Linked DNA regions of Cricetulus griseus. The protein of the gene in region 1 interacts with the protein of each later gene in a pairwise test. Links are inferred from orthologs where the notes say so. Each region holds a gene or a part of one and is shown in the gene's direction. Other genes may lie near its edges.

Region 1 (3,727 bases):
GAGGGGGGTTGCCCCGCCCCGAATCCAATTCGCGGACTCCGGCCTGTTGCCTTGGTGATGAGGCCCGGTTCTCAGGCTGCATCTCCCCCCCCCAGGGTCAATGGAACAGTCCTCGGGCTGCCAGGCTTAGTAGTCGTCGGAGGCTGCAGGCTGAACCATTACTAGATGGGTGAGAGCAGAGAGTGACTCGAGGCGTTTGTAGCTGGGCTGTGACTTCCTCGGGGGTCGCTTGCCCCGGTTCCTCTTCCCAGGAGCAGAATTTGGCAGGGCCCAGGGCAGGGTGCACCGTCCTGTAGGCTCAGAATGACGAGACAGGGCCGGGCTCTTTTCCCCTCGGGGCTGTTGCCACACTTCCTGCCTCGGCTCTCTTTCCCTAGTCTGTTTCTAAGGAAGGGAGTGAGGTTGGGCGACCGCGCCCCAGCTATCCTGCCCCGTCGGCTCTCCAAGAGCTGACAGGGTATCGGGTGAGCCCAGAGTGACTAAGGGAGGACTTTGGGCTTGGAGTACAGGGTATGCAGGTGCCTAAGGACCACCCACGAGGTACAGCCCCATTCGTACAGGTCCCTTGTCTCTGGGATCATCCTCCCCAGCAGATCTCAAAGCTCGGAAGCTGTGCCCTGACCTTTCTAACTCTACATCCGAATTCTTCAGGTGGCCACAGTGACATGTTCCCATCCTCCACCTCTTGTATTACCTCAGTGCACCCAGGACCCTTTCTCACCTTTGCATATCTACGTCGCCCTCCCCGCATTTCCTTCTCATTTCCGCCTATAGGAGAACCCTCAGACTCATCAACGGCCTCTAGAACCCTACTGTTCTTGCACAACAGGCGCCCCTTCCTCCAACCTGTGACAATTCCAGTCTTTCAAGCCCTTTGTATCTGGGACCTCCAGTCAATCCCCGGGTCAAATGTTAACAGATCCCTCCCGATCCTCCCTTTCCTGCTTGCTTGGGGTCTTCTAGCATATTGTCAGTTCTCAGCTACAGGCACTCTGGGTCTCTCGAGACTTCTCCGGCTTATCCCGCGGCGCCCCCTTCCCTGCTTGCTGTGCCAAGCTCTCATAGTCACCGAGGTGTACTCCCGCAGTCCTAACCCGTGTGCCTCAGCCCCTCCACATCCCTTTGCTTCGGCGTCTCCATCGCTGCAGCCCCTCCCCCTGCAGCCGCGCAGAGCCACCCGGCTCGTGGCCGCTGTTTACAAGGACACGCGCTTCCTGACAGTGACGCGAGCCGCCTCCTCCCCTTCCCCACGCTCTAGGAGGGGGCCGCGGGGGCCCGGTTCCCGCGTTGGCCAATCAGAGCGCACTTCCGCAGCTGACAAACTCGGTATAAAAGCTTGGGGCTGGGGCAGCGCGGTGGGGACCTTGAGGGTGGCCGGGCCGGTTTTGGATCCTGCAGGCAGCGGGGAACTGAAGGAAGCGACGCCGAGAAAGCGGGCGCACCACAGAGGCAGAGACGAGGTCTGGAAGCCCGGCAACGCTTTTACGCACAGCTGCCAACCGGCCGCCGCCGGCGGTCTCCAGTTCCCGAGGACGCGCGACCGGACACCGGGTCCCGCCGCAGCCGAGGACAGCTCGCCGCTCGCAGCAGCGAGGCCTGGGGCGGCCCTTCAGGGGGACCTTTCCCAGACCGCCCGGATGTGCACGAAAATGGAACAGCCTTTCTATCACGACGACTCATACGCAGCGGCGGGATACGGTCGGACCCCTGGCAGCCTGTCTCTCCACGACTACAAACTCCTGAAACCCACCTTGGCACTCAACCTGACGGATCCCTACCGGGGTCTCAAGGGCCCGGGAGCGCGCGGCCCGGGCCCAGAGGGCAGCGGGGCAGCAGGCAGCTACTTTTCGGGTCAGGGATCAGACACAGGCGCGTCTCTGAAGCTCGCCTCCACGGAACTGGAGCGTTTGATCGTCCCCAACAGCAACGGCGTGATCACGACGACGCCCACGCCTCCGGGACAGTACTTTTACCCCCGTGGGGGTGGCAGCAGTGGAGGCACAGGGGGCGGCGTCACCGAGGAGCAGGAGGGCTTCGCGGACGGCTTTGTCAAAGCCCTGGACGACCTGCACAAGATGAACCACGTGACGCCCCCCAACGTGTCCCTGGGCGCCAGCGGGGGTCCCCAGGCCGGGCCAGGGGGCGTCTACGCAGGTCCAGAGCCGCCCCCCGTCTATACCAACCTCAGCAGTTACTCCCCAGCCTCCGCACCCTCTGGGGGCGCCGGGGCCGCCGTCGGGACTGGGAGCTCGTACCCGACGGCCACCATCAGCTACCTCCCACACGCACCACCCTTTGCGGGCGGCCACCCGGCACAGCTGGGCTTGGGTCGCGGCGCCTCCGCCTTTAAGGAGGAACCGCAGACCGTACCAGAGGCACGCAGCCGCGACGCCACCCCGCCGGTGTCCCCTATCAACATGGAAGACCAGGAGCGCATCAAAGTGGAGCGAAAGCGGCTGCGGAACAGGCTGGCGGCCACCAAATGCCGGAAGCGGAAGCTGGAGCGCATCGCGCGCCTGGAGGACAAGGTGAAGACGCTCAAGGCTGAGAATGCGGGGCTGTCGAGTACTGCCGGCCTTCTCCGGGAGCAAGTGGCCCAGCTCAAGCAGAAGGTCATGACCCACGTCAGCAACGGCTGCCAGCTGCTGCTGGGGGTCAAAGGACACGCCTTCTGAGCGCCTCCCTCGCTCGCCCCGCACGGACACCCCGGCCGGGAAGGCTGGACGCCCGCCCCCCCCTGGGGTGAGGGGGGCGGGCGATGGGCACCGGCCCGGAGGTCTGGAGCGCCGCGCACACACTGGACTCTGGCTCGCTCGCCTGCGCCCAGTCCTTCCACCTCGACGTTTACATGGCCCCCCCTTCCAGCGTATTTTGTATGTTTTTTTTTTTTTTCTGGGAAGAGACCGGATTCATATTGAATATAATATATTTGTGTATTTAACAGGGAGGGAGAAGGGGGCTACGCTATCGCGGCGGAGCTGGCCCCGCCGCCTGGTACTCAGCCTGCCGGGACACTAGGGAGGGACCTCCGCCCCCTGCCCTCCCCCTCTGCACAGGACTGTGGAGAAGAAACACGCACTTCGTGTCTAGAGTCTATTTTAAGATGTGTTTGTGTGTGTGTGTGTGTTTGACTTTTTATTGAATCTATTTAAGTAAAAAAAATTGTCTTTATTAATTTCTGTGGTCTTTTTTTTTCTTCCAAGCCGGGCGGGTGGAGGGAGAAGAACGGGATGCCCCCAGTCGTCCGCTTTCGTAGCTCCCTCCTTTCAGGTGACTTAAGGTCCAGTGCAAGCACGCAGACCTCTCACGCCGCGCCCCGGCACCCGACGCGGGGCAGGCGGGCCACAGCCGGGAAGAAGCCGCCCGGGACCAAACGCGGAATGTGTAAGCAGCCCCGCCCAGCCCAGCGCGTCGGGGCTTTCCCCGCTGACGCGCCGGAAGCGATGCCCATATATGGGCCTATTCTGCTCAGTGACGCCAGCACGGTCTCCGGGCAGATTCCGGGAATCCCCTCCCCCAGCTCTGCCCGGCAGGGCCGCGGCGCCGGGAAGGGGCCGGGATTTTCCCGGGCGGGCGGCTCTCGGGGCGCGGAAAGCCCCAGGCCTGGGTCCAGGGTGCCCGCGGCGGGAGACTTACGCTCTCCTGGGCCCTGGGAGCCACCCGAGCGTCTCTCAACAGGCTGGCGCCGGAGACCCGCCGCGCCCACGCCCCCTCCATGGGACCTGAC
Region 2 (4,293 bases), about 110 Mb from region 1:
CTAATCAATTGCAGTGCTCTTTTATTGTTATTTATTAAGAGACACTGCCTCTTATAGCCCAGGCTAGCCTCCAATTCTTCGTGTAGCTATAAATGGGCTTGAACTTCTTATTCTTTTATCTCCATTTCCCAAATGCTGGTATTATAGGCATCTACCAGTAGCACCTTAAAAACAAAACAAAACAAAACTTGGACATAAGGATTCTTTTTTGGGTGGGGCTGGGGGGGTTCGAGACAGGGTTTTTCTGTGGCTGTCTTGGAACTAGCTCTTGTAGACCAGGCTAGTTGGATTCTTTTAAATTTTTTATTTTGGGGCCTAGAGATGGCTCAGTTGTTAAAAGCACTGGCTGTTTTTCCAGAGGACCCAGACCCAATTCCCAACACCTACTTGGCTGCTCACAACTATCTGAAACTCCAGATCCAGGGGAACCAATGCCCTCTTATGACCTCTGAGTTCACTGGGCACACATATTGTGAACAGACATACACAAAGACAAAACATTCATACACATAAACATAAAATTTAAAATTTCTTCATCATCTTTTTTTTTTTTTTTTCTGAGACAGTTTCTCTGTGTATCCTGGATGTCTTGGAACTCACTCTGTAGATCAGGCTGGTCCGAAACCCAGAGATTTGCCTGCCTCTGCCTCCCAAGTCCTAGGATTAAAGGCGTATGACTCAACTACCTGGCCATCATCATCATTATCGAGACAGGGTCTTAATTGTTTAGCACTGACTGCCCTAGGCCTTGGAGCCTCTAACTCAGAGACACCCTCCTGGCCCCACTTCTGAGCACTGGAATTTGAAGGTGTGAACCACCATGCCAGCCCTGACTGTTTATTTTTGCAGTCATGCCTGCTGCATTGGTCACAGAGAGTTTGGAGTGGTTACATTGTCTAGGTTCTTTTGTCAAGCTTGGGAACTTTTACTATGTCCGCAGGTTAGCCTCAAACTCCTGGGTGATCCTCCTGCCTCTGCTTCTGTAGTACAAGCACCAAACCAACCACACCCAGCCCCAAGTCTGGGAATTTGTTCCATCCTACCATGTCCTTTATAGATGAAGAAACTAAAGTTCAGAGAAGAGAAGATGAGTCACCTTCTCAAAGCTGCATACTCCAGTGTGGACTGTGAACCTGGGCTCCCCAAGTGATTACAGGGCCTCTTACACACACACACACACACACACACACACACACACACACACACACCCTTCTCCTCCAGGTTCTATCCCTGGCAGCCTGGCAGCTCTCCCAGAATACTGTCTTGTTGTTCCTCCTGTTTGCCCTCCACCAGCCTTCTTCCAGAGAAGGGGCCTCCGGAAGGCAGCTCATGTAAGGAAGTTCCAGCCACGTGAGCAAGCAAGAGCCAAGGATTCTGGGCAGCCGATGGCTTTAGGAGAAACTGAAACTGGGTGTGCTGGGGGCGGGAGTGGTCACTGGGGATTTAAAGAGCCACCACTTCCTTGAGCCTCCAGAGGGCACTGGGAGGGCAAAGCTGCTGAGGGGACACACAGGACCGGATTGAACCTCTGCTCCCCCTGCCTAAGCCATGCAGCTCTGTGGGAGTGGTGCGCTGCTGACTGGGACAGTGAGTACAGGGGACTAGGAAGGAAGCGGAGAAATTGGCCAAGGGTCCCAGGGCCCAGACGAGGGAGGATGCAGTAAGGAGCTCCAGTCCCAGCTCCACACCATGTCTGTGTGACCTGGGACTGGGCTCCACACTGCCATCTCTGGGTTTAGTTCCTTCTGGGGATGGGAATGAAGCCTACCCAGCTCTCACACTGCAGACCAGCCTCCAGCTTTGAACATGGATCCTGCAGACCTGCTCTCTCCTGTTCCAGCTGCTCTCACCTTGCTGCTGCATTTTCCAGATCCTTGCCTTCTCTCCGCAGTCTCTCAAAATGCAGCTTTCTTCTTTTCTCTCTGACTCTTTCCCCAGCCTTAGTACTCTGGGGTTGAATTTGCCCTGAGGGAGATACAGCCACTGGGAATCCACAAACCTGAAGAGTCCTCAGCCAGGGTGGCTGGGGTCTTACCTGAGGTAGGGTGACAGAGGCAGGGTCCAGCTCTGGGTATTTGGCCTCAGGTTCCCTTTAATTTTCATGGTTCCTATGGTTGGAAGTTTCAGCACTATCAGCTGAAAGTCCCCTTTTCTGTCAGACAGACTCTCCATTCATTGGTTCTAGGCAGCCACCCCTTTTCAGTGTGAACATTATTTATTTTTAGTTTATGTGCACTGGGTTTTGCTTGATGTATGTCTGTGTGAGAGTGTCAGATCTTGGAGTTACAGACAGTTGTGAGCTACCATATGGGTACTGGGAACTGAACCGTGGTCCTCTGGAAGAATGCTCTTAGCCACTGAGCCATCTCTCCAGCCCCTTTTAAGCTAAGCAAATACTCCCCACTAAGTTACATTCCTACTTTATTGTTTGTTTCAGAAAAGATCTCATTCTGGCCTCACTATGTAGCCAAGCCTGGCCTTGACCTAATCCTTCTGTTGGGATTATAGGTAGGCACTACCATGTTTGGCCATTTTGCCTGGTTTTTGTTGTTGTTGTTGTTGTTTTCCTCCCACTTCTGTGTCCTCCTAGCTTAGTGCCTGGTACATAGTAGGTACTTAAAAAATATCAGTTGAAATGATGTGGGGATGGCTTAGTCAATGAAGCACTTTCCTTGTAAGTCTGAAGACCAGTGTTTGATCCATTAAAAAGTCTGGTGGGGTGTCAAGCACTGGGGAAGGAGACACAGGCAGATCTCTGTGTGATGACCAGGCAGTCTAGCATTAGTGGTGAGCCCCAGGTCAGTGAGAGACTCTGCCTCAAAAGATAAGATGGGTGCTGGAGAGATGGCTCATCAGTTAGGGAGCACCTACTACTACTCTTAGAGAGGACCTGAGTTTGTTGGTTCCCGGAACCTACATGGGACAGCTCACAAACAAACCATCTGTAACTCCAGCTTCGGGGGATTTAACAGCCTCTTCTGGCCTCCAAGGTGCCTATAATCACAGGCACATATATGTCACCACACACACATATACACATGATTTTAAAAATTAAAATAAGATTGATTGCTTCTGAGCATAATATATATATATATATATATATATATATATATATATATATATATATATGAAAACAGGCATATTCTATAAGTGTTAGCACATGCCTGTAATCCTAGCACTTTGTACTTGGAGGCAGGAGGTTTAGAAGGCTCAAGGCCAGCCTCTGCGCCACATAGTGAGTTCCAGGCCAGCCTGGGCTATTTTGTCTTTCTGGGCTCTATACACATGTACACCAGGTCCACACACACTAAAAAATAAATGTTCTTTGAGTATGTTAATACCAGCACTTTAGGACTGAGGTGGGCATGAGGACATGGAACTGTATCAGGTTCTGACCCCATTTTTGTGGAGCTCTGGGCTAGGAAGATCAACCCTCTGGTGTGTTCACTCTCTGTGGACGGTTGGGGAAGCACCATGGGCCTCTGTTTTACTGTTGAGATTATTGTACTCAGAAAAGTCAATTGCTGGCTTTTGAGCATGTGTGTTTGAGGTTGCTAGCTATGTTCTGAGTTTGAATCTCAGCCTCCCAATTTATATAAAGCTGTGAGTTGGACACTGGATTGGGTTGGATTTACAGTAAGGAGTACAGTGTCTTCAGGGGGGCTGTGGTACCAAGGGAGGAAACATTTTGGGAGAACAGGGATTGTAAGGACTGGACTTGAGAAAGACAGCTTTCCAAATGGCTGATCATGTCAGAGGGGGCAAACCACTGCCAGGACCCCACAACCCTCTGCTTCATGCCTCATAGGACCCTGAGGAATGTCAGAAGCAGCTGAAGAAGAAGCAGAAGAACCGACTGGCTGCCCAGCGCAGCCGGCAGAAGCACACCAACAAGGCAGATGCCCTGCACCAGGTAGGGTAGGGATGCCCTCTTTTGGTTCAAAAGACTGAGTGACTTACAGAGAAAAGAGCTCTCTTTTTAAAAAAAGTTTATCTTATTTGTTTGTGGTGGTTGTTGTTTTTGTTTTGTTTGAGACAGGGTTTCTCTGTGTAGCCCTGAAACTTGCTCTGCAGACCAGGCTGGCCTCAAATTCACAGAGATCTGCCTGCCTCTGGCTCCCAAGTGTTGGGATTAAAGGTGTGTGTCACCACTACCTAACTGAAAGTTTGTTTTATTTTATATGTATGGGAATGGGTATTTTGTCTGTATATATGTCTGTGCAGAACATGTGTGCCATGTTCTGGAGGGCAGAAGAAGGGAGCAGATCCCCTGGGACTAGAGTTACAGATGGT

The links.
Region 2: the proteins of Junb (region 1) and Batf2 interact in binary tests that used the Homo sapiens proteins (3 or more experiments, as listed by UniProt). The link is inferred for Cricetulus griseus from reciprocal best matches to the Homo sapiens genes JUNB and BATF2.

Annotation. Positions count from the first base shown.
Region 1 is NC_048596.1:159,386,198-159,389,924, forward strand, and holds Junb (transcription factor jun-B), read left to right. Parts: upstream 1-1,338; 5' UTR 1,339-1,637; coding exon 1,638-2,675; 3' UTR 2,676-3,175; downstream 3,176-3,727. UniProt on the Homo sapiens protein: Transcription factor involved in regulating gene activity following the primary growth factor response. Binds to the DNA sequence 5'-TGA[GC]TCA-3'.
Region 2 is NC_048596.1:53,179,979-53,184,271, reverse strand, and holds the start of Batf2 (basic leucine zipper transcriptional factor ATF-like 2), read left to right. Parts: upstream 1-1,410; 5' UTR 1,411-1,548; coding exon 1,549-1,587; intron 1,588-3,808; coding exon 3,809-3,913; intron 3,914-4,293.